3 linked regions of the Caenorhabditis elegans genome follow. The protein of the gene in region 1 purifies or fractionates together with the protein of each later gene. This does not show direct contact. Each region holds a gene or a part of one and is shown in the gene's direction. Other genes may lie near its edges. The genes, in order: mog-5, mif-4 and T05B9.1.

What was found.
Region 2: the proteins of mog-5 (region 1) and mif-4 fractionate together in Caenorhabditis elegans (co-fractionation; one large-scale study listed by BioGRID). This does not show direct contact.
Region 3: the proteins of mog-5 (region 1) and T05B9.1 fractionate together in Caenorhabditis elegans (co-fractionation; one large-scale study listed by BioGRID). This does not show direct contact.

The regions. Positions count from the first base shown.
Region 1 is NC_003280.10:5,393,858-5,408,067, forward strand, and holds mog-5 (putative pre-mRNA-splicing factor ATP-dependent RNA helicase mog-5), read left to right. Parts: upstream 1-5,680; 5' UTR 5,681-5,681; coding exon 5,682-5,852; intron 5,853-6,036; coding exon 6,037-6,294; intron 6,295-6,345; coding exon 6,346-7,120; intron 7,121-8,381; coding exon 8,382-9,724; intron 9,725-10,464; coding exon 10,465-11,334; intron 11,335-11,583; coding exon 11,584-11,769; 3' UTR 11,770-11,953; downstream 11,954-14,210. Other genes in the region: pink-1 (Serine/threonine-protein kinase pink-1, mitochondrial), read right to left, coding at 1-330, 378-776, 824-1,053, 1,102-1,259, 1,304-1,541, 1,593-1,724, 1,775-1,822; fbxl-3 (Putative RNA-binding protein EEED8.10), read right to left, coding at 2,184-2,299, 2,354-2,564, 2,607-2,991, 3,042-3,628, 3,694-4,017, 4,066-4,147, 4,205-4,305, 4,359-4,480 and 3 more; clec-141 (C-type lectin domain-containing protein 141), read right to left, coding at 11,962-12,151, 12,632-13,277, 13,691-13,769.
Region 2 is NC_003282.8:6,334,730-6,337,877, reverse strand, and holds mif-4 (Macrophage migration inhibitory factor), read left to right. Parts: upstream 1-1,883; 5' UTR 1,884-1,890; coding exon 1,891-1,950; intron 1,951-1,994; coding exon 1,995-2,123; intron 2,124-2,452; coding exon 2,453-2,629; 3' UTR 2,630-2,648; downstream 2,649-3,148. Other genes in the region: ipla-6 (PNPLA domain-containing protein), read right to left, coding at 1-39, 106-223; blos-2 (Biogenesis of lysosome-related organelles complex 1 subunit 2), read right to left, coding at 2,911-2,948, 2,995-3,099.
Region 3 is NC_003280.10:11,256,270-11,266,034, reverse strand, and holds T05B9.1 (Nuclear receptor domain-containing protein), read left to right. Parts: upstream 1-4,842; coding exon 4,843-4,892; intron 4,893-4,946; coding exon 4,947-5,595; intron 5,596-5,644; coding exon 5,645-5,734; 3' UTR 5,735-5,948; downstream 5,949-9,765. Other genes in the region: T05B9.2 (Apple domain-containing protein), read right to left, coding at 7,782-7,906, 8,176-8,385, 8,438-8,583, 8,855-8,939.

The DNA.
Region 1 (14,210 bases):
AAAACTTTAGAACTTCCAGCCAATAGAGTAGTCATTTGAGATATTCCACATTTTTCCATCATCTGCTTCACATCTTCTCCCATTCTGAACAATGACAAATTCAACGCATTTGCAGCAATATTCGGCTTGACTCTTTCATTAGGATCTCGCTTGAGTAGGTCAAAAATGACATCTCGTGCCACAAAATTGACACGAGATGGGAGTGCTGGTAGTTCTGATTCCTGGTATGTTGCAGTATCAAGAAGTTTGTAGAATGGATTTGATCGTGTTAGAACTTCATAAGAAAGGCCTCCAGCTGCCCATGTATCTGCCATTTCGAAGTTTACTTTTCTGTAAAAACTTTGATTATATACAGTACTCTAAACTTCAAAACATACACATTCTTTCCAGGAACAGCCGTCGCAATTTCTGGTGCTTTTGTCTTGGCATTTCCTCCAAGACTAACTTCATCTGATTCATAGTCTACTTGCCAATTGTCACATGCAAGTGCACATCCAAAATCGGCGACAACTAATTGGGGAATCTCGTCGTCAAAATCATATTCCAGAAGAATATTATCACTTTTCATGTCTCGCTGAGCAACTTTATGCTTATGAAGATATGTACATGCTTCTAATAGTTGAGCAATTATCACTCGTCCTGTCCAATAATTTCGATGACGAGTCCATACATATTCATGAAGTGTTTGTCGGTATCGTCTCATTACTACGTACATTGTTTTCGGTTCGGAGGCAATTGACTCATACCAACGTGCAGTGTGAAGGGCATCTGGATATCTGGAAAATCTTATTCTCAATCATTATCAATAAATTTCAAAGCTAACCGTTCAATCGCATCTGGCAAAACTTTTAACGAATCAATAAAAGCTGTCTGAATTCGAACAACATTTGGATGTTTTGCTGGAAGAGGTCTAAATGTTCCCATTTGTCCATTGAGCAACTTTGCAGCATTCGGATATGGAGCCAATTCATTTCCCATTGATTTCAAGAGATGAGCATCTCCATCGCGATCATGTTCAAAATTAAACATTAATTTGATTGCCAACGGGAATTTCTGCAATGATTTTTCAATATTAATCATCGAATTAAGATTATCAACTACCTTTTGTGCAACTTTGCTAACTGGCGGAATTTCTGCAAGTATATTTGTGACTTCATTAAACCCTGCACCATAGTGAGTATTCCCTGAGGATTCTGCATCAGAATTGGCTAATCTCGCAGAGTAAACTGCTGCATTGCATCCTTGACCGAGAAATTCCCCTGAAAACTCAAACAATGGAGAAATATCACTGAAAAAAGCATACCAAACTCATAAGAATCAATTCTATTCGGCCATTCAGTGCTTTTCAAATCCTCATTGTATCGTAGAGAATTGCCAAATATCTGCCTGATTCGTTCGACTAAATCCACATTTCTTGGCAATTCTTTACGAATCGGTTGAAACTTTCGACGCCAATCATTTTGATTTTGAAATCGATGTCTTTCGATTATTACTGAGGAAAATGGCCGGAAAACTCGACCGTGGCGAGTTACAAGGCGAGCCTGAAAGGAATTCAATTTTAATTTTTTTTTGTTGAATTTTCATAAACTTACAATTCGTAGAGCATTTTGTCGTGGAAATGGAGCCTTTTTGAGTACGACATGAACTCCTAAATTATAAGTGGCGGGAAATATTCTCGGCAGGAAGCGTTGGAAAATTGGTAGTCGTCCACCTTTTGCAACTAACTAAAAAATTTCAATTTAACGATTATAAAAAAGAACGATTTTGAAGATACCTCATTTGCGATTCGATATGCTGCTTTTCCGAATCGTTTCATAGACATTCTTACTTCTATACACTGAAAATATTATAAGTATTATAATTTAATATAATTTTTTGGTTTTTTAAGAGAAAAACGACAAAATTCCGAGAGAAAAAAATATTTTGAATTTAAAAAAATTCGAAAAAGCATCACTTTTTCTCATAATGTTTAAAATTGAAACAAATATCAAAGAACGGTTGAAAACCCGTAATTTTTTCAAAACGGGTCTCTAAGAAATCGAAAATTTCATTAGACTAGTTACAAAAAAAATGACAAGAAAAATGCTGAAAATGACAAAAAATGTTATTATCAATAAATAAGAACCTATAATTGCAATAAAACGGATGAAATTGTTTCCTTCGTTCGATAAAATTCTGAAGCTTTAATCCTTAATAAGCCCGAGGCTTCTTGCTTCTTTTTCAGCCCATTCCGCCAATTTTCCATCGTCTGTAATTGGTGATTCTTCTTCTCCACAGACAGCATCAATGTAGAAACTTCCTGAAAATTTTTGAATAATAGTTTTTAAAGAACTAAATTAATCTTAAAACATACTTTGTGCGGTCAATGCTTCAAATTCATCATCCGAGCCTTCAGCGTCTGACGCTGATCCTCCAATGGCAAACTTGGATGACGAACATTGGCTTGTCTGCATCGTGACAATCGTGGAATAATCGGAAAAGTCGACGACTACTCTTGATCCTCGAACTGACAACTTTGAAGCATCAGCGGCAGTTCCACCGACAACGAGGGTGATTGGTGGAAGCTAAATTTTATTTTTAATTTTATCCATTTCCTCCTAACGAACCTTTGGTCCTGATGGGAATGCTTTGATAAACTGTTGAATCGAGTCATTTGATACTAAAATTGAACCACTTAGATCCACGTGGCGGATATTTGGCATTCTAAGCTTCGCACGCACACCATCATCACCAAGATATGTGCAATTTCTCAGTTGAATAATTTCCAACTTTTTCAGTGAGCCCAGTTGCTCTAAAACTTTTGAATTGACAGCTGCCAGCGACGATGCATCAAGCTGAGTCAGTTCTTTTAGATTTTTAATCGCTGAAACTCCTTCTGCAGTGATCGACGAATCGTTTCCAGCGTTAGCAAGACTGAGTGATGAAAGAAGCGGTAGACCAGCTGATATTGAGATAAGAAGCTCATCATTAACAAGAGCGTTGTAGTCAAGGCTGAAACATTGATAAATATAATTTTAATCATAGGTTCAGATGGAACTTACGCCAATTCTGTAATATTTCTCATGTGACTAATATGAATCAATCCGGCTGACGTTAAACTTTTGAATCCATCCCCACATAATGTTAAGATTGAAAGATCTTCCATTCTTCTAGCGATCATACTCAGATTCTCATCTGTGATTTTATAGCATTCATTGATCCGTAATTCTTTGAGACCTCCACAACTGGTGCATAAATCTTCAAAAGCCATCTCATCTACTTTTGATGATCCATCCAAATATAAACTTTCCAGTTGTGACCCGAATAATTTGAATGATCGTCCGTGGAGCCGTTTTGAATTTCGTAAATCCACAAATTTAAGTGAATGACCACAGTTTTTAAGTAAAAAGTAGAATGCCTTGTCTCCAGTTGTTTCCATTCCTCTATAAGATAGCTGTTCTAAATGTGAAAGTGATTCTCCAAGTTCTTCGAGAGCTTCAGCCTGAGCATGAGTTCCACTAATATCAAGATCAACTAAATTCGGACAGCATGTTGCGATGACTTTAAGTGCTCGGCGATCATCAAGAAGATGCACAATTCCAGAAACATCAAGTGACCTCAAGTGTGCACCAGCACGAGTAAGAATCGCCTGAAATTTTTTATTTTTTATTAACTTTTTAAAACTAATTTTTTTAAATTTCAGCTCAAACTCATTTTAAGATGACTTGTTCTCATTGGTCGTTGCTTGTTGAATACAGTTTCTCTTGCCAATGCAATTTTATTGACAAGTTCCCAGGATTTAATTGATTCTTCCATGAACTTTTTATTAACTCGTTCCAATCGAATTGTTTCGTGAATTGGTAAAAATGAGATGACCCTTCTAAGAATTTTATCCGGGACGTTTCCCAAATTGAATGATTGCTCGGATCCTGAAGCTAACGACTGTGTAGATGAAGCACGGGACAATGGAGTATCTTCACGACTTCCAACATCATCACTGAGCACGAGACCTTTACCTCCACGTTTTTTCGATACATACTACAAGATAAATTGGTTTAAAAATTAAATCCCAAATCAAAAACTTACAGCTGAGACAACCATAACTTGATCATAAAACTTCAACTCTTCAGGATTCGCATTTTTCGCGCGATCAGCATGCTCAGACTTTCTGCAAAAATTGTATTATTAAAAAGACCTGAACAAACCAAAAAAATTTAAATTATACTTAAAAGTAATAGTAGCAGTTCCACAATTTCTGGAATGCTTTGGAAGTGTTCCGAACACTGATGTCTTTTTCTCTTCGCGAGGCAGAATGCAGCTGGTTATCTGGAAATTTAATTTTAAAATTTTATATTTAAATGATAATTAAAACAACACACTTTTCCATATTGAGAAAAGAAGGATTGAAGCTGTGATTGGGTGACTTTAGCAGAAATATTCGAAACCACGATTTTTCGATCATCACGAGAAGTATGTTGGAAAGCGATAGATGCATCGAAATCTGAAAAAAAAAACAATTATTGATTTTTTTTCCAAATTTTAAGATTTATTACCGTCTGTTTCTCCTCCATCAAATGCATCTCCATCGGCGAGTAACATTGGTAAAAGTCGTCGATATTTCATAAACTCTGCGGCAGAGTGGGACCAAGTTCGCCTGAAAATATTTTAATTTTAATTTAGAAAAAACCAGAGCTAAAATGTTGATATTACCTCAATTTTCCAATACTGAAAAACCGTGCCCTTGTGACAAATGACTGAAATGCTTCAGTCATATCATGAAGCCCTCGGCTCTCCAAGTTCTGTCCATGAAGCCGGCGGAGTGCTTTGAACATACTCTGAAAAATTGAAAATGTGTGAAAAAAACGTTTTTTCGAGAGAAAAGATAACAGAACCATATGATTTGATTTGGCTACTGTTCCCTAGTGTTTTCTTATCACATTAACATTTATTTGGTAGACAAAAAATCGAATTGTGTTCTCTAACCTGTTGTGATTTAGCACTTCCAGCGCTCCCGAGGTTCGATGTGAAGCTTCGATTGAAATCCATTTTTTAGGTTTAACTGTTTTCTGAAATTGAAACATTAATAATAAATTTGAAAACAATTTTGATCGATTTTCACTAGTCGTTGTTCGGAGGAGGAATGGCGCATGTTTACCAGTGAGTCGGGTTAGAGATTATACGGAAGTGAAGAGACGCAGAAAACGGGACATTCGGATGCTTGGGGACACATTGGTCACTATGAAACGTTCAAAAGCACCAATTCAAAGAAAATCTAGAAAATTTGCAGTTTTTGAACAGCTTTTAAATTTAAAATCATGCTTTAAAAGACCTTGTTTTTTGTTAACTTTGAAGGCAAAGGGTATTTGCAATAACGATTTTACATTAACACAAACTTATATATCCATTTTTGGAAATACTAAAATAAATTCAAAAAAACACAATGAAACATATTTACAAACGAAATGAAAGCCGGCAGCTTCAATAAAATAAAAAATAATTGTTGAAAAAATATAATTAAAGAAAGCTGCACACTGTGCGGCACAATTGCGAAAAAGCGGGCCGCAGTTTGCATGAAAGACCACGCCCACTATTTTAGATTTCGAATTTGTTTTTTTACTCTAATTTTCTATTGTTCGAGTTTTTCGGAATTAAAACTGCTTTAAAGAATTATTTTATTAAATTTTTTATCTGTAAATTTCAGGATGGACCAGCTTGAGCACCTCTCACTTGTGAGCAAGGTCCTCAGTGAAGTTGAGAACCATTTTGGTGTCGTCGAAAAAGATGTCGCTGAGTTTGTTATTCATTTGGCTCAAGAGAATCCAACATTTGATAAACTGAAAAAGGCTTTGGATAGTCAGGGACTTGGGGATCAGGTATGTTGAAATATGAGAAAATTTAACGACTAAATTATTTTTTTAAAGGAAATTTCAAAATTATTTTAATTCAAGGTGTTTTAAAATATTTTGATGAATATCAAATATCGAGATTTAAAAAAAACATTATTCGTCTCATAAATATAAAAGTCTCGATATTCCTCTCTTTAATTCTAAATTTCAGTTTGATGATTCCCTCACTGCGACCATACTTCGTATAGTACAAAGCATGACTGCTGTTAAAAAGAAAAACAAGAAAGGTGGTGATTCAAAAGAAGATATCAAGGATTCACACAAAATTACATTGATTTCTGATGCAAAAGAAGAAATTAAAGCACGACTTCCAGCTCTAGCGATGGCAAATACTGCGAAAGAAAAGGAAGATAATGAAGATGATCTTATGGCTCAGTTAGAAAAGATGGAAGGCCGATATGAAAGTGAGGTACGTATCTTTGATATTTGAAATTTGTTAAAATAAATTTTCCATTTACAGAAACGTCTTCAAAAGGAATCAGATTCAAAACGAAACCGTTCAAGAAGTCGATCAAGGAGTCGTGATCGAAAACGAAGAAGAAGTCGTAGTGGTGACAGGGATCGTCGGAGACGTAGTAGGAGTCGTGAAGACAGAAGAGATCGAGATAGGAGGGATCGGGACAGAGACAGAGACAGAGGACGTGGGGATCGAAGAGGAGACGACAGACAAAGAGATCGGCGTGATCGACGAGATGATGGTGGTGCTAGAAAATCCGAAGTTGCAGAAATCGGAAAAATCTACGATGGTCGTGTAAACAGTATTCAATCGTTCGGAGCTTTCATCACACTGGAAGGTTTCCGTCAAAAACAAGAAGGACTTGTTCACATCTCCCAAATTCGAAATGAACGAGTTCAAACCGTCGCAGATGTTTTGAAAAGAGGAGAAAATGTCAAAGTTAAAGTTAATAAGATTGAAAATGGAAAAATCTCGTTGTCAATGAAAGAAGTCGATCAGAATAGTGGAGAAGATTTGAATCCACGCGAGACCGACCTGAATCCGGATGCAATCGGAGTTCGTCCACGGACACCGCCAGCATCAACTTCCTCGTGGATGAATCCTGAAGCAAGTGGAGTAGGACAAGGTCCTTCGACCTCAATTGGTGGTGGAAAGGCGAGAGTTCGAATTTCGACACCTGAACGGTGGGAATTAAGACAAATGCAAGGAGCCGGAGTTCTCACAGCCACAGATATGCCTGATTTTGATGAAGAAATGGGAGTTCTAAGAAATTATGATGGTGAGTATTTTATTTATGATCTAGTAATTAATGATAAATTTGAAAAAAAAATTATTTTCTCTTGAAAATCACTAAATTATTTTTGAATTCCGCGCAAATGGTGCTTTATTTTGCTTACCGTATTTCCTCTATTAGTCTTGCACCCCTACGGGTCAATCTAAAATTAGTCTTGCAGCCTCTATTAGTATTGCATGCAAGACTAATAGAGAACATACGGTATTAGTCTTGCACCCCTATTCTTGCCAGACCAGCAGTATTTTGTGAAAACTTCAACAATTTCGCCATTTTATAGCTAAATTAAATTTTAAAGTGTTAAAATAATTGATAAAACAATAGAAAAGTATGTATTTTGCATGATTTAGACTGTTTCAAGTCAAATTTGTGACGATAAATGGCCAATTGAACAAATCTATCGGGTCTTCGAAAATTAGTCTTGCAGCCTCTAATAGTCTTGCAGTCTCTATTAGTCTTGCACCCCTACGGGTCAATCGAAAATTAGTCTTGCATGCAAGACTAATAGAGGAAATACGGTATATGATTTTTTAAAAATAATTTATATTTAAAAAAAAAACTGCAAAATTTTTTTAATTGAAAACAATTTCAATTTCTCTTGAAAATGACTAAAAATGATGTTTTACAGACATTTTTCCTTAAAAATTGACAGTAATTTATCGTTTTTAAGCCGATTTTTTATTTTCAACAAAATTTAAATTTGGTTTTCTTTACTGAAAAATGCCAAAGTATGACAAAAGATGCATCGGAGAATAAATATCGAATTTAGCCTGAAAAATGCGAATACTTTACAATTACGGCAATAATTTTCCCGGGAATTCAAATAAAATTAAAAATTAAGCAAGATTGAAAAAAAAACATGAAAAAAATGATGGTATAAAATTTATGATTTAATAATTTATCAAGAAAAATTGTAAAATTTTTTGAATTAAAACAAATTAATTTTTCCTGAAAATGACTAAATTGTTTTTGAATTCGCGCACGCAGACATTTTTCCTCAAAAATCGACACTAATTTATCGTTTTTAAGACGATTTTTTAGTTTCAACAGACAAGCCAAAATATGACAAAAGTTGCATATATCAAAGGAAAAATTTCGAATTTAGCAGGAAAATGCGAAAAATTACAAGGAAATGATTTTCCCGATAATTCAAAGACAATTTTTAAAAAAGCTAAATTTAAAAAAAAATCATTAAATATTTAAAATAAAGTTTCTATCATTTAAAGCACAACAATTTTTCAATTTTCAGATGAAAGTGATGGCGAGGATATTGAAATCGAGCTTGTCGAAGACGAACCTGACTTTTTACGTGGATATGGAAAAGGCGGTGCAGAAATAGAACCTGTAAAAGTTGTCAAAAATCCGGATGGTTCATTAGCTCAAGCAGCTTTAATGCAAGGTGCTCTTTCAAAAGAACGAAAAGAAACGAAAATTCAAGCACAACGAGAGCGTGATATGGATACACAGAAAGGATTCAGTTCAAATGCTCGAATTCTTGATCCTATGTCTGGAAATCAGTCGACTGCGTGGAGTGCTGATGAGTCAAAGGATCGGAATAATAAAATGAAAGAAATGCCAGAATGGTTGAAACATGTGACAGCTGGTGGAAAAGCGACTTATGGAAGAAGAACCAATTTGAGTATGGTTGAGCAGAGAGAAAGTCTTCCGATCTTTGCGTTGAAAAAGAATCTGATGGAAGCAATGATTGATAATCAAATTCTTGTCGTTGTTGGAGAAACTGGATCAGGAAAGACTACTCAGATGACACAATATGCAATTGAAGCTGGACTTGGAAGACGTGGTAAAATTGGATGTACCCAGCCTCGTCGTGTTGCAGCAATGTCCGTAGCAAAGCGTGTGGCAGAAGAGTACGGTTGTAAGCTGGGAACTGATGTTGGATATACAATTCGTTTCGAAGATTGTACAAGTCAAGATACTATTATCAAGTACATGACGGATGGTATGCTTCTGAGAGAATGTCTTATTGATCCTGATCTTTCTGGATATTCGTTGATTATGCTTGATGAGGCTCACGAACGTACAATTCATACGGATGTCTTGTTTGGATTATTGAAAGCTGCTGCTAGAAAACGTCCGGAACTGAAGCTGATTATCACTAGTGCCACCTTGGATTCAGTTAAATTTTCAGAGTATTTCCTGGAAGCTCCGATCTTTACAATTCCTGGAAGAACATTCCCCGTTGAGATCCTGTACACAAGAGAACCAGAATCAGATTACCTTGAAGCTGCACATATTACTGTAATGCAAATTCATTTGACTGAGCCACCTGGTGATGTTCTTGTGTTTTTGACTGGACAAGAAGAAATTGATACATCGTGTGAAGTTTTATATGAACGAATGAAATCAATGGGACCTGATGTGCCGGAGCTGATTATTCTTCCTGTCTACGGAGCTCTTCCAAGTGAAATGCAAACAAGAATCTTTGATCCAGCTCCTGCCGGAAAGCGAAAAGTTGTTATTGCTACGAATATTGCCGAAACTTCTTTGACAATTGATGGAATTTTCTATGTCGTTGATCCAGGATTTGTGAAACAGAAGATTTACAATCCGAAAAGTGGAATGGATTCCTTGGTAAGCATTTATGCACCCGTCAGGGATTTCACGAAAAAATTCGACCAAAAAACAAGACAAAAAACGAAAAAAAAATTTCAAAAAACACGAAAAGCGGCTAAAAAAACGAAAAAAAAAATCAATTTTTACCAGAAAGTTCAAAAACCAGGAGAACAAGTTTTTTCGAAGACGAAAAACGAAAAAATAATATTTTGCCAAAAACAAAAAAAACTCGGATTTCTTTTTAAAAAAAACTTTTTTTTTTTGGTTTTTGTCTTAAAAAAAACGAAGAAAAAAATCCATTTTTACCAGAGAGACCAAAAACAAGAAAAAAAATTTTGTTCGAAGCGAAACAATTTATTTCGCCAAAAACAGGAAAAAACTGAAATTTTATATTTTTGAAATGTTTGAAACGAAAATTCTTATTATTTCAAGAATAAATATTTGTAGAGTTATATTTAATTTTGAGTGTAATGTTTTGTGAAAAAAAGTGGAATAAATATTTTTTCGCCTTTTTTTAACAAATTTTTTTTCGAAAAAGTGAATCATACATTTTTCGCCTTTTTTCATAAATTTTGATTCGAAAAAAAAGTGAAAAAAAAATGTTTTCACCAGAAACTGAAAATGATGCAATAAAATTCAATATTGTTTGCAATTAGACGAATTAAAATTATTAGCTACTCAAAATAAGATAATTTTTTTCGAGATATTAAAAAACAATTTTCTGATAAATAAGAACGAAAATACAATATAAATTTCAGGTTGTCACCCCAATCTCACAAGCCGCAGCAAAGCAACGATCAGGACGTGCAGGACGTACGGGACCTGGAAAATGCTATCGTCTCTACACAGAACGTGCATTCCGTGATGAGATGCTTCCGACACCTGTTCCAGAAATTCAGCGAACAAATTTGGCGTCAACACTTCTTCAGCTTAAAGCTATGGGAATCAATAATTTGATTGATTTTGATTTCATGGATGCTCCACCTCTGGATTCAATGATTACTGCTCTCAATACACTTCACACGCTTTCAGCACTTGATGGAGATGGTCTTCTCACGAAACTTGGTCGTCGAATGGCTGAATTTCCATTGGAACCATCACTTTCCAAATTGTTGATCATGTCTGTCGATCTGGGATGCTCAGAAGAAGTTCTTACGATTGTGGCAATGCTCAATGTGCAAAACATTTTCTATCGACCTAAAGAAAAACAGGATCATGCTGACCAGAAGAAGGCGAAATTCCATCAACCAGAAGGAGATCATTTGACACTTCTAGCGGTTTACAATTCATGGAAAAACCATCATTTCTCACAACCATGGTGTTTCGAAAATTTCATTCAAGTGAGAAGTATGAAGAGAGCTCAGGACATTCGTAAGCAATTACTCGGAATCATGGATCGTCATAAACTTCTGATGGTCAGTTGTGGACGGGATGTATCGAGAGTTCAGAAGGCTATTTGCTCTGGATTCTTCCGAAATGCTGCAAAACGTGATCCACAGGAAGGATATCGAACATTGACTGATGGACAGAATGTTTATATTCATCCATCATCAGCATGTTTCCAACAACAACCAGAATGGGTTGTATATCATGAACTCGTCATGACAACTAAGGAATATATGAGAGAAGTAAGTTTATTTCAATTTTATATACGGAAAAGTACTGTAGGCGGAAAACACAAAAATGTCGAAACTAGGCCATTATGCTCCCTTTTGAAATATTTTCAAAATTTGAAAAAAAAATACAAAGTTTAGAGAAATTATATACATTTTTAAAATTCATATTTGGCATATGGAGACTTTATTCTTTCATTTAGGGCCAAAAACTATTTAAGTCTAAATAAGAAATTAAATAAAAACCTAATTTTCAATTTCCAGGTCACCGCAATCGATCCAAAATGGCTTGTTGAATTTGCACCGTCATTCTTCAAAATCGGAGATTCTACCAAATTATCAACATTCAAACGAAACCAGAAAATCGATCCGTTGTTCGACAAGTATGCAGATGCAAATGCCTGGCGTATCACACGTGTCAAGAAGAGGATATACAATCCCAACAAATAATCAGTCTCCTGTGTTTCTTATCGTTTTTTTATTTTTTAATATTTAAGTTATTCATTTTTGCTTCTTTTTCTGATGTCAGTTCTTTGTTTTCTGTCTGTAGAGTAAATACGAGTACACTTGTTTTGTTTTTGAATAACCTCATTTATTATCATTTAAACATTCAAAATATACCATCATTAGAATTAGAAGTGTTTAGGATGGGAGGACTCCGCAAAGAGCACCGAAGTTCCAGTAGGCGGTGTTGGTTGGCTCATTTGGAGCCTTGTCCATGTTGCAGTAGATATCGTTGAATTTATTGTTACGGTTGAGCATATTGTATGGATTATCCCCTGGTCCTGTGAGCGCTGGGTAGACGGTAAATTGTATACATTGTTCGATGTCACTGGAAAATCAATTGATAAATCACAATTTCTCTAAGCCTTTTTTTGGGAGAAAAAGTTGAAAAGAGGGGCCAGCTGGCCTAGTTTCTCACTTTCAAAGTTTTTGGCAATTTGCCAAAAAATTTGAAAATATTCAAAGCAATGTCGCATGTTCCGACACTTAGAATGTTTTAACACGAATAACTAAACTAAAATTAAAGTATAAAAATGTAGGAAAAATAATTTTTTTGGTCGCCTTCCAAATTTATGAGCAGCAAAAAAAGCTTGACACCGTGTGCTTCAAGTTATATACCGCATATTCGACTTTGACAGCTAATAATCTCGTGATTTTTTGTTTTTGTAGAAAAACTTTAACTGAGAACATATTTTTAAATCTTTTTCTATACTTAATGTTTTTGAATTGTCTTAATATCTTCAAAAACATTCGAGAGCCGCACTAATAGAGATTTTATTTATTGTTGCACATTTTTGAATAAACTTACTATGTCCAAGCATTTGCAGATGGCTCATTTGTAGCCCATTTAGACCAAGTAAAACCTGGTGAGGTATGCTTATCAACCATTACGAATGAATTTGTACCATTGCATTCCTCACTGTCAAGAATTCCTCGATCTCTTGAAACACATGCTGCAATACGTCTTCCGTCGACAGCAATAGCGCCACGAGTTGCCGGTCCAACACGATCGAACTGTTGTGCCATTTGTAAAGAGAACACATTGAGCTCCTCCTCGTTGGCGAAGGTAGTTACAACTGCTTCAGTGTTAGAAGCCTGGCAAAGAGCAGATGCATTATTGATCGGCATTGGTTGTCTTGGGGACCATATCAATTGCATGCACCATTCAGAAGTGAACGAGTTGTCAGCAGCAGGAGTACGAAGGAAGCTTGTGTATCCTTGTGGACAAACTTTTACCTTGGTAGTTGTTGGTTCAGGTGTGGTGGTCGTGGTGGTGGTGGTGGTTGTGGTAGGAGTTGTAGTGGTGGTAGTAGTAGTTGTTGTGGTAGTTGTAGGAGTTGATGTGGAAGTTGATGGAGTACTCGTGGACTTTGGTGGCTTTGTCGTACAGTCATCATCATTGTGATGTCCTCCATGGTACGATGATGGTGGACGATGTCCTCCGCTTCCATATCCTGAAGTTTTAGTGAGATTCAATGAATAGTTATTTCAGCTGGTTGAGGTATTTTCCTTTTTACCCAGGTAAGAATTTTTTTTGAGGATTTTTTTATGTATTTTGATATTCATCTTTTGAACAAAATATGAAGTTCTCGCGTTGAAAATCATAAGACACGGAGCGTGCTGGGAGGAGATGAAAAATTGTGTACTTCTCGTGGGTACGATAGCTGTAAAGTGTCGGTCGTTTCGAGACCGGGCACCTGTGTCATATAGTTAATGATGGCTAGATTGCTTCTTGGGGATGGGTCTTGCCACGAATTTGGTTTAAATTCATTTTCGCTTCAAGACCCTAACGTACGAACTACAAATATTTGTGGTAATCCTATAGTTGTGCTTCTCACTAAACTGTAGATAAAACTCTAAGACTCACCTGGTCTGATAATGGCTTCAACCGACATTGAAGCCAAAAAGAGGCCAAAAGCAATGAGAAGTGTTGATGAGGAGCGCATGTTTGAATACCTTGAATTTCCGGCAGGCTTTATTGTCCCGAAACGGTTAGGTTTTGGTTTTTGCGGGGGGCTTTTAGTGTTATTATTTGAACTGAAACAATACGTTTTGCAGGAACGATAGAGCAGAGATTGCAAGGTGTTGATGTATCGGTTAAAAAAGTGAACGGTTAAGATCAGAAGATCGGAATTAGAAGTAGAGTCAGTGGGGGAAGTTATTGAAACCCACTTCTTTTAGTTTGAAATGACTAAATACCATAGTAAAAGTTTTCAAATATTTTTTTGAAATTGTTTATTCACATTTGAAAAATTGCCAAAACCTCACTTTTCATCAGTCAAATTTTGAAAGTCGAACAAAAATTTTTCTGCGAGTTTTATGTTTTAAATGCTTATGTTTAAAGAACTTTAAACATTCTAGAGGTTTCAATTTGCAACAGTGCTCAA
Region 2 (3,148 bases), on another chromosome or scaffold:
AAATTGTTGCTGAGGATCCAGGTGGTGCACTTGCTCCGCCTGAAAAAAATTCAATTTTTCATATTTCTGTTGAAAATAGACTTTCGAAATCAGAAAAAATTGTACCTTGTGTATTTGAACTGCTAAAAAATGGTCGTTCTGGTGTTAAACCATCAATTGTACTCGGATGTCGGCGGAGCAGTGGAAGGGATGTTCGATGGATCAGTGTACTTGTGGTAGCCATATCTAAAAAAGGTAATAATTATTTATTACTCGGAAGTGAAATTTTACGATTTTTGCGCCAGATATACGGTAGCCGGTCTCGCCACGAACAATTTTAGTTAAATGCGACAAGGTCTCGGTTGTTGCGGAATTTTTATAGAATTTCATAGTTTTTTAGACAAAAAACACTTTTATTTATGTTTAAAACAACTCAAATATAACAATAAAACGCATGAATTCCAACAAATCGATGCTACAGTAATCTTTAAAGGCACACGTCTTTTCACATTTCCTATGCTTGTCGTGTCGAGACCGTGTGCCGTATTTCTGGCGCAAAAAACAACAAAATTTCGCTTTTGAACAATAATTAAATAAAAAAGAAATTTAAAAAATGAGACGTGGGAATTGTATACGGTTAATTTCAAAGAATTCACGGGAAAATTCATTGAAAAAATTCAAATCTCAGAAAAAAAGTGAAGAGTGAACAGTTTTAGAAACCTTGTCAGTTTGGAAAACTACGTGATAACTCAAAAGAACGGAAGAAAGTTTCTCACTTTTCCGTGTCTCTCTGTAATCTCTTGACAAAGCCCACTATTTCAGGCCATCAGAGAACAGGGTCGGGAGGATCACGCCACTCGTTTCAACACTCAGTAGTCCACAGCTTGCACTACCCACATTGTTTCTCCGTCTGCGTATCCACGTCTTATGTTGTCTCTCGCATTGTCTTTCTATTTCTGAGTCTCTTGCACCTCTCTGTCATCATGCATATATACAATTGAAATGGAAAGGACAGACTGCACTAAACCGAAAAGCACGTGGTCTTGTCTGGGAGGAGAAGAATGTTGAAGACAAATCACACGACAACGTGATATGTGACGTCACAGAGGGGAGTCCCCACGTGACAGGTACTTTAATGAGACAGAGAAAGTTCGAAATGTTGAGTCACGAATCGCGAACGGAATTGAGCCGAGTGGAAAAAAAGAGTTGGAAATTTCGAGATGAGCAGCCAGCTGATTTAGTCTACAGTAATCTAGAATAACTAAACAAAAGTTTTTGAACCTATTCCAGCTTTATGAGTCATGAAAAATGGAGCGCAGCAATAAAAATATGGTGTACGAATTTCAGGAAATACTTCTCGTTAACAAAGATAGTTTGAAACTACAGTACTGTTCAAAGCGCTGACATGGTTGTGTCTAAGAAAAATTGTCGTACCGAGACCTGGTACCGTATTATTATAGCAAAAATCGCGAAAATCTGCATCTGAATAATATCAACTACATAACTGAGATCGTGGCGAGACCCTAATGAAATTACGATAATATAAATAATATTGATTCAAAACTGTGATTCTTGCTTCTAGTTGTTGCAACACATTCTGATCTGTGTCTCCCTAACCTACTTCCGATTTTCACCAAAAAAACCGTGTGCCCAACCCAAAATTCAAGGTCAAACTTATTTCCATTTCCCCGTACTAATTGTTTCCATGTCATCCCATTTCTGTCCATCCTGCGCACATAACATTGACAAATGGAGTTGTGTATTTATTGTCGAGTGCACGCTCTTTTCTTCGAGCGACATGTTTTCTCAGCTGGCTGAGCATTTTTTCCCGTTGGTTTTTATGTTGCGAAACGACAATTTCTCTTTTTTTTAAAATATTTTCAAGCCGAATTTCAAAATTTTAGAATTAAAATGCAAGTTGTTCGAATTCAAACCAACATCCGAAGTGCTGATATTCCAGAAAAGTTTGAAGTAAGTTTGCATAAAACGAAATTTCTAATTTCTAATATTTTCAGCAAGATGTGATCTACAATTTATCAGTTGTAATGGAATTACCAGCTGATAAATTCGTGATTATTGTTGAGCCGGCAGTTAGAATGAGAATTGGATTTGAGAATAAAGAAATTCCAGTTGCAATTGTAAATGTGCGTTTTTTTTTATTTTGAAAAAATATTAGGCTTGGGTCTTGTCACGTGTAAAATTTTTCAGCTACAGTAACCTGTGTATTTTTCAAAATCTGAAAACTTTTTTATAATTAAAATTTTTTTAATCGAGAAGAAATGTGTGAAAAATAGAAAAACTAACTAGATTCATAAAATATAAGTTAATTTTATGAGAAAAATATTTTTAACTAAAAAGTGATAGAATACCGGGGTACGGTAGCTGACAAGTTTTGGACGTGCCGGGACCAGAGACCGTGTTTTTTTTTTTTGAAAATGTCAACTCGTTGAAAATTAAGAATAACAATTTTCAGTTCCAAACAACCCGGCCTTCTTCTCGAATCGAAAATGACTCATATGCAAAAAAATTGACATCAGTGCTCAATGAGCAGTTGAAGCTTGATCCCGCCCATATTTTCATATCATTTGATTTTAAAGATGCAAAAAGTTTTGCAACTCAAGGGAAGACAATTGCTTCTTTGTATGAATAAATTTGTAAAAAAGTTGAAACGCATGGATTTAACAATGAAGTAAACATCTGAAAACATCGAAAAAAACAAGACAAAGCATAATTCATAAGTTATTTTATAGCAAAAGGGAGGGAGCAAAATTAGCATTAATGAGAAATAGAAACTTTGACAAGAAAATGTAAAAATAAGTTATGCTGAATATAATGACTAGAGTTACATAAATTATTGAACGGAATGTGAATAAGAAATCACACATTAATTTAGTTACAGAAAAGCTGGAAATAGTTTGAGATTGAGCTGGCTTATTGGCTTTGCTGTTGGATGTTGGTGAGCTTGGATTCTGAAATTAAAAATCTTTGAATTTTTTCTTGAAAGGCTTAACCTACCGAGTTGGGTAACATAATTTTCAAGAACAGCGGTAGCTTCCTCCAATCTCCGGGTGCTCTCATCCATAGCATCAATTTGGGAAAGATATGGACGCAGATTCTCGTCTGGAAAATAATCTTTCATAAATTTTCCGAAATAAATAATAAAGGCATA
Region 3 (9,765 bases), 5.9 Mb from region 1:
AACAGTACTCTGTGGTTATCTCCGTGATCGCTAAGTGAGAGAACGATGCTAAATGATGTAAGCAGCTAACGATAATAACTAGTTTGTTTGGGGGAGACCCGAGATTGAACTGACCCGCGGAGGAATAAGCGGAAATATTTTCAACGGAAAATATGATAATAATGTATATCACATTAACAGTTTTGAAAATAAATTCGCTTTTTTTTAATACAAAATTTTTTCTGAATCTTTCCCAGAATTTTCCAAAAAGTATAATACCTAGTTCGGTAAAATCTGAAATGGCCTTTAATTTTAATTATCGAAAATTAACAAAAAAAACTTCACAAGAGATAAAAATCGTTAACTGTTAACCACAGATATTCCTTTGAAGTTTTTGCTTTTTTTTTAAGCTACTGTGATTTTTTTCCAATGTCACCCGTCTTCTTAAATTCAACCAAAGCTTAATCTGTAATCAAAACCAAACAACCAAGTGGCTGAACCTACTACGTAACATCCGATTTTCAATTATTAGTCTTGTTATCTTTCGCCCCGTCACATCATTTTTTTTATACTTCCGGACATTACACCTTTGCAGTAATATTTCAAAATTCACGTGCAAAATGTGTAACTGAATAATCTTTGGTTTTACATTGAAAATTTGAAAAATAGAAAAAATAAAAACAAAAGTGTTCTAAAATTAGCATGTGTTCAAAGGCGACAAATTCTTTCAATTCTTCCATAAATGTGTTTTGATTGATGCCTGAATTGTGTTGACTGTCGTACTCATTCCTCATTCTGCATTCTTTGAACTGGTTTGCATTCAGTTTTCTCTTTTTTTTTTCTTCGTGTCCCTCAAAACAGTAAGTTTGTATGCCAATGATTATGTGTCTACGGACGAAATGACCGTTTTATGTGAAAAAGTTCAAGTGAGAGAAATGTATTTAGAGAAAAGGGATGGTTTAGGCTTACTATTAGGCTAAGACTTAGGTTTAGACCAACTTTCAATTCAGGCTGATGCTCAGGATCAGCCTAAAGTTTAGGCCTAAGTTTATTCGAATGTTATAGGATCATTCTCAAATTTATGCTCCAGCTCAGTCTTGCGCTGAACCTGAAAATTCGGTTTCACTTTTTTCTTTCTTCTATTTGAAACATTTTAACCCCTTCAAAATTACATTAAAATCCTACTTATACCTGTGACGTTTTCAGAAATTGTTTTATAAAATCGACAAATATCCCCATTTACTATAGTAATCCGGAACTAAAGTTGTATTTGCTATTTAAACTCCAAAAATCTACGTCATTCGGTCAGAAATGTAAATGCCTTGAAAATAACTTTCCAGAAGTGGATCAGATTGTAGTCCGCGGGGGAGAAGCTACAAAGGGGGAGAATTACGAGATGTTTTGCGGATCTTTGGCAAAATTGTTGAACTGAGTAGTAATGCAGGATAACACAATTAAAACTATAATTTTCTTCTGTTCTAGGTATTGAAAAATGCTACGTAGTTGATACGAGGATTACCAAAAACATGTTTTGCGGGCTTTGTGTTCGGAAGGATTAAAAATTAACAAACTATAGTATTAAAATATCAAATATCAAATAGTTTTATTTCGACCAATCAGCGATGTGCATGGGGTGTGGTCAGTATCGCTTATTGGTCAAAATTTCGATTGCGCGAGGATCAGCATTTTTGCGCTGGCATTTGAAAAAATTGGTACTTTCAAATTTCAGCTCCCTTGACTTATAAGGTAACATTGCTGTATGGTGCCGCTTTTTCCAGACCAGGAAGTTCTGAAAAAAAGGAGCAAACATCGGACACAGTGAATCATGGCACAATTGATCTTTATGCCCCTTTTCCCATTTCTTTGCATATTCTTTTTGATTTCCAGACAAAATTCGATTATCTCCTTTTGCTGAACGTTTAGGTTTAGAATACCCATTTTTAGAAAATCAGACATTTATAAATAGCATGTCCTAGGTAATTTCAGAGTTTTTGAATTTAATATTTATTTATTTTGGTCCGGTTATTTTTTTTTTTTGGTTTTTTTTCTAACGGTTCTTAATTTGAAAATTTTTGTACTTTTGTTTATGGCATTACATTTATTGAACGGTTATGGTCACATGCGACGTCACTTTCTTCACATGGCTGCACAAATTTTCTGAAGCAGTGCTATTAAGTAAATTTTAAAATTTCCCCAAAAAAACGACACCTTCTCGTCCTGCTTACAAAATGTTTTCCAGTTAAGGTTTGGCGCCTTTAACTACTACAGTAACCCTGTCAATTTAGGGTTAAAAAAACCAAACCTGAAAAATTTCCCTTGGACTCCTGAAGTTTTGTTGTCTCCACCAATCCATTTTTAAGGAAAAAAAAATTAAAATTCTATCCCCCGCCGCCGCAAATACTGCAAGTCCCTCTTAATTTAAACGTAATAGTATCAGTATGAAAACAAATAATTTATTTGTTGTTTTGTTCGAACACTTTTTTTGAGTAACACCGTCGTATCGTCGAAAACCGACATATCACAACATGTGTCGAGATGACGCAATTTTTTGAAATTATAATTGGGATTATGGTACAAAATGTTTTGAGTTGAAAAATAATTTGAATGTAGTTTGACCTATGCTACGGTAGGTAGAGTTATAGAAAGTTGAGCGCCGATTTACTCAGCTTTTGTTCTTCTCGGAAAAGTGTAAGTTTATTTATACGTATATACAACTGGCCTTCATTTTTGTAAAACTGGAAGAAATTGTTGAAAATCTGAATTTCCTGAAAGTATAGCCTTTTTTCTTTGGGAACCCCTTTCAGTTATTTTTGACACTATACTTCACTTCTTTCACTCTGGTCGAGCATGTTTTTGAAATTATTGAAATCGAATCAACTTGCAAAAACCTCCCAGAACTTTAAGAAAAACATGGTTAAAGGTTGGATGAAAATATTGTTAGACTTGTTGATCTTTTGATTCCGGTGCAATCTGTGTACTTTGGCACTCGACTGGGAGTTCAAAACTATGGCTTCAAAGTTGATAATGCTCAGAGTCAGAACACAATTGTTTTCTGTGTTTATCTTCAAAACTTGAAACACTCAAAAACAATTCGGAATCGCTTTGAACTTATGTTCTATTCCACTGGGAGCCGATCCTGGGCCTGCTCCAAAATTAGCTTTACCTCCCCCTTTCCTCCAACCATAATCATTGGTTTGCGACGAAAAAACTCAACTTTGCACACTTTTCGAATGATGCCATTTTTTGAACTTGGTTGGCTCCAACCAACTGGAACTGATTTATATTTTCACCTTCCGCTCTCAATTGGACATTGCATCCCATTTCTTTCTACTCACCGAGTTCAACTCGGTTTGACCGCTCCAGCTCACCCGAAACGACGAAAGCTTTAGAGGTTTTGAGCTGGATTATAACGGAAGTCTGAAGGAAAAAACACAGGATTGAGCTAATTAGGCAGCGAGGGTGGATAGGATAAATTACAGGATGTTAGAGATCAGATTTACTTTTTGAAAAAAAAAATATCTTAAAAATAAATTAAAACGAACATGTTTTTGTCTTTTTAAAATTAAAGAAGACATACATTTTTCGCAAACTAGAAGTTTTGTTTAATGATATTAATTGATAATTTCAATGTTTAGCCTACAACGAAGGTTGTAAAAAAAAAATCTACACCTCTCCTTGGGAAGTACACGATGACCGTAAACACACGGTAGAAATATCATGATATACTGGAACGTTTCTGAACATCGTGCAATTTACAGTATCCTCTAAATCTTAAAAATTCCAATAGAATCCCCTTCAAGTAAAGCTTCTGAGCAAAGTATATGAATCCGGAAGAAGTGTGAGGGAGGAGTGGGAGAGCATTAATGCGAGTTAATTTCTAGTCCCTTAGAAGCAAAAAGAGGCAGCAGGTAGGCAATTGAATTGAGGAATTTCCTGGCATGTTTATTTTTCAACCTTCTCCACTTTAATCTCATTTTTCTAAATGCAATAGCTTCCACCCTCAATAAATTAGTTTGCGGTGACGAGAGTTGCAGATAAAAGGAGCAATGACGTCTTCTGGAGTATCTTGAATTTCAATCATCGGATTTTTCTTTGAAAAATGTCTGATGATGTCAGGTTGCGGAAGTGATATTTGCAAAACAAATGTTTTATGGATATCTACATATGCTAGGAATTGGAATTGAAATGGAATGAATTTGACGAATTAATAGATTGGAATTCGGTTTATATATATTTTTGTAAGAGCAAAACAAATTGACGGCACTGACGGAAAAACGGCACCCCCCACTCTGTAAGTTTACCGGTAATGACCTACCGTATAATTGGTGTCAGGCTGTCCCATAACGGTTTGATCTACAAAAAATGCGCGAATTTTTTTCCCCAAAAAATGTGACGTCAGTGCGTTCTTAACCATGCGAAATCAGTAGAATAGTCTGCGTCTAAGTTCCCGCAATTCACGTAGATCAACCCGAAATGGGACATTCTGACATCACGTGACCAAACGGATGGCCGAGTTTTTGTAAAAAAACACAAAAAATTATGTTATTTTATGGGTCAAAAATGTGTTTTCTTACTTCACAAAATTTTGTGGAAATTCCGTGTTTTTTCACAAATTTTGGAGATTCTAAAAATTAAGGGTACGGTAATCACTGACTTTAGTGTTTAGTCCGCAAGCACGCAGCGCACGCGACGCGCCCCTCATGCGTCGCGTTTCACTCTTTTCCGTTCTTATCACCTTGCCCTAAAATTTATTTTATTCTGATTTTTACGAAGTCTTTTGTTCCTTTTTTTAATTTATGGAATTTTAATATTCTTCAAGTTCCATATATTATATGTTTAATTCATAAGGCTATTTTGATTCAGATGAACACTTCAAGTTCTGCAGATCCGAAACCGGATGCGTCACTGTCGAGGTACTTAATCTAATTTTCAACTTACCTTCCTGAGTTTACGAAATCTTCTTTCAGTTCGAACAGCAAAATCAAAAAGGAGGAGGATTTGGAGGCGATGAAAGAAGCGATTGCCCAATTATTGCAAGGAGTTGAGGAACTGACCCAGGACAAGCTAAATGATGCCAAGTCCAGGAAGAAACTTGAAGAATCTATGGAGGAACTTAAGTCACAGAACTTGGATCTCAAGGCTCAGCTGGATTTCCAAATGGCACACTTTCAATCGCTCTTTGAAGCACACGAAAAGGAAATTGCCGATTTGAAAGCTCGCCAATATCAAAACAACTCGATTGCCGCGCAGACACCACCACCAGATGTTCGTCAGGAACTGCGTTCATTCCCGATGGTTAAACATTCACGAGAAAATCCCGAGCTGAGGAATGTGCCGGTGTTGATTTTCTCAAGATGCATGCTCTGCGAGACTGATGAGCACACAATTCATTCGTGTCCGATTTACAACACAAATTCGAAAAGATACGAAGGCTTCAAGGATAAAGGACTCTGCAGATCTTGCGCACTTCCAGCGAACTCCGATGGATCTGCAACTTGTGGAAGAAATTGCATGTTTTCGCGTCGCAGATGCACAAACTGCTGGGATAAGGGAGGTGACAAAAGCTATGTCTATCACTTGGAGTTCACATGTCGATGGGACGAAAGACGATCGCAGGTATCGTTTTCGGATATCTTCGAAGAGAAGGAATTGCTTTTGTTTTCAGAGGACATCGCCGTTTTCAACTGATCACTCGGATCGTTCTTCCAAACACCCACGTATCTCATTTGATGAATGTGAAAACCATCATTATTGAGATGAGACTCACATTCCCACAATCCGTCAACTCAATTCACCTTTCCCGTTTCTTTTTCCTTTTATTGATAGGATTTTTTGTATAACTTGAAGTGTGAATGCACCCCCCAACCTCCTCATCGGCTGCCCAATTGCCACCACATTATTATATTTTCTCATACCTTGCTCATTTACCGTCACTGTTCAATTGTTCATTAATAAAGCTGCTAGATTTCAAAGGTTCCACCAGGCTATTTCCGCAAGTTTCCTTCCTGTGGACACCAGCTTTCACAAATCCGGGATAAGTTTGTGAACACTTGTTCAGCAGACACGGAGGCCTGGTTCCATCCGATCACGAGTTCCTTGTCTCTCGGTAAAAGATCAGAAATATGCGTCAGTAGTGGTGAAACGATCATTCACACCAGGAAAAACAAAACATGAACATACTTGTCAGCTTTCTGGTGTAGCAAATGTGTCTATGCTTTACCTTTGGAACCCCTGGCAGACACTGTCGCAGTTTTCAAAGATAACCATAGAGTACGGCTGCAACTATCTGAGAGCTTTTCAGATGGTGATACCACCGACTTCATTTTTGCTGGAAGTAGTCGATAAAGGGATTGATGGTATAAAAAACGTAAAACAGTACCCACGCAAGAAGCCACATTCTAAACGACCTACGTCTTCATCAACATTATCCATAAATCACAATGCAAGAATAGTTAAAAACAGAACGTATATGATTACACAACCGCAAAAGACACTCAAAACATGGAGATTAAAATATTTCCACGCTTTGGAATATCTCTAGTATGTTACTTATGGATTAGGAAATATTTAAATACGAAATTAGAAATTTGTTGAAATCCTAAACTGAAACCGAAAAATGTAAATAACATGAAGTTTTCATTAGTGGTTGATTTTTGGCCCAATGAAAAATGGTTTGGAAGATATCTAATACTTATCCGGTTGAGCAAAGGAAATAGTAACGGTCTTTCCAACCGTTTCATATTTAAAAAATGGATGTGAAACCTTGCCTCGATTTACGCGATTAGTGTACTCCCCGAAGAGAAGTGTGTATGTTTCTAGAATCGTTGCACCATGTTCTAAAACATAAGGTTCTCTCACTAAAGTTGCGAAAATCAACAACAGGCCGTGTTAGAGATACACACAGGTTACTTTGGAGTTCTGTATTTTATATAATTTTTCTGGTTGTCATTCTGAGTCTTGGTCTGCGTAACAGTTTTCAAAGCGATATACTACTATTCAAGTTCCCACAGAAAAAAATTTGAAGAAACTCACGTAGTACATCCTAGATTATACTTTCCTTGAGTCTCAAACACGCTGTCTACTAAAAGTTGGGAAACCCCTACAACATGTCCTAAGCCAAATCTTTGGTTCCTATTTTTCTGAATAAATCAGAAAAGATCAAATCAAATGACCAGGCGCTATCCTTCCTTATCCATCTTTTATTCTAGGAGAGAGATTAATAATGCTAGGTTTCTGAAGGGATCAAAGTGATGTGGTGTTGCAAACATAGTAGCAAACAACTTTTGTTCCTTCGGGCTTTGTTTCTTACATTATTATTATGAATCGACCAGAATTCACTTCCGTGTTTGGGTCAAGAGGTTTCTTGTGAATGTGTGTATATAAGTAAGTAGTCAAAATTCATCTCCCACTCACTTGGCGGCGACCTTTCAAAACAACGCCTTTTCTGACTACTGAGTTTACGAACACTAACTTACTCAAAAATAAATGAGTGTTCGTTACTTACTAAAAATACGAGATTTCTGTTCTGCAAATAAAACACAAAGTGTAAAAATCGAATTGATTCATTGATCAAGCAATTCATAGAGGTACATAGTTTTAAAAATTCTTATTACCCGTATTGTGTGTTGGGAAAAGTGTGAAATGAAGGTATTGGACATGAATGGGGGAAACGAAAGCAAGCGAAACAGGAGTTTTAGTACCAAGAAAATTGAGATTTTTGGAGCATTCGAACCCGTAAACTGTTATATACTTACAAAATCTAAACGACTAATAGCTAAACATAATTAAATACAAGATTAAAATCATATTTCAAAAGGCCTCAGTAAAATACTTCGTCGATGTTTGTGCTTTGGAATTGGGATGAAACCGGAAAACGCGTCGTATTCTAATCGTAGTTCGTTCATCGTGCTGATGCATTCACAGTGACCTGAAAATTAAAAAAATTAGTTTTTTTCTTCAAAACTTAAGATATATATTTTGTCGACCACCAACATCAGCACCCACTTTTTGGTTTACATATGATAGATAAATCTCTGAACACTTGGAGGCTTAGGGAAAGCCAATTTTAGAAATTGAAAAAAAGAAAACAGGATTTCCCGATTTATAGTTATAAATATATTAAACGATATTAATTTTTGTATTCTTAGACTCTACAGATCTTTCTGACATTTCTTCAAACATCCATACAGCACTCACCTAGAACTTCTTGTTCTTCATCATCTTCTTCTTCTTCTACTGGTACAACGTTACTCCGTTGATTGTCGCTGTTGGGCCTCCAGGAGTAGTACAATGCACCGACCTTCCGACAGTTTTCCTTGCACTCTTCTCCATCTGGCACATCATCAGCCTCCATCACGATTGGACCAACTATTACATGATCTTGAAGGCGATACCGTACCTCATCTTCTAAACAAGTTTACATTCTAGCAATCACTTCCAAATTTCTCTAGCCTCTCACCATCATCTTGGCAGAATCCGACCATAGTGTTCGGTTTAGCGATGAGCTTTCCAGACGTGCTCCGTGATTTCAGATAGCATATCTTCTCTTCGCTATTCCATTCGTAGCCAAAACATGAGAAATCTTCGATGCACTCTTTCGCACATCTGCAACATATACATTTTTGATATGATATCCAATTCCGACGTCGGAAAAATCCTCTATGAATTGTTAATGAGAGATATAATCAGAAGACACTCCTCTCGTGTGAATTTAAATTTAGAAGCTTCTGGATGAAAATTTAGAATTCTCAAGTTCAAAACAAGGATGTCAAAAATGTGTCATATGACTTTTGTAGTTTTAGTATGCTCTAGAATGACAAAAAAATTTATTTTCAACTTTGAACCTAGTCAAAGGAATTTAGTAAAAAAAACTCACTCTCGATCCACGAAATTTCGTATCCTTCGATAGTTCCCACCTTCGATACTCATTCCAATTTGAGTGTTGAAGCACTTCCCTTTGGCTGCAAAATGACAATAGAGCAATTTCATCAACAAAAATCAAGATTTTGCGGGGGTTACCAAGGGATTGGGCCCCCCGCGCACTCTTGGAATTCTGATTCCGCTTCGCCGCACGTCTGCGACTGAAATGTCACGACGGGCCTATTCAGGAAGACACACTCGTGTCCATGCGGTCAGTTCAGGAACTAGCAGACTTTTGAATCAAAACGTCCCCACACATCGTGAATCATGTCGTCCCCCCTGGATTCACGTCATGTTTCGCGGTTCATCACATTGTGAATGAGAAACCGATTCATAACTAACGAGGCGATGTCCCCACCCAATAAAGGATCATCCGATGTGCTAATAATGGATTGGCGAACATGCAATAAGGAAATAAATATTTTTCCTTGCAAAAAGAAAAACTACCAGCTTAAAGGTACTTAGGAGCATGATACAGAATGAGAAATCTTTGAAATGTTTTTCTAAATGTTCATTTGAAACTGAAATTCAAAATGACGACTAGAATCAAACAAAGTCTTTTTTATTCCAGAAACTAAGATTAATCAAGGAAATGGAAATGAACATTGAACAAAATGGAAAAAGCAAAATAACATGTCTACAGTTCCACAATTTTCTTTTTTTTCTAGAAAGCGTTCCAGAATTTAGGCCTACGCCTTAACCTAGCCGCAATGTAAAATTGGTAATTTTCAAATTTTCCTGTTTTGTTGCTCATTGCAATTAACTATCTCTTTTTTCGAAATTTCATTTTCAAAATACATTTTCACTCGAAAAAGAGATATTTCGGAATCCGTTCCTCACATCATGGGACTCCCAAATCGGAACCTC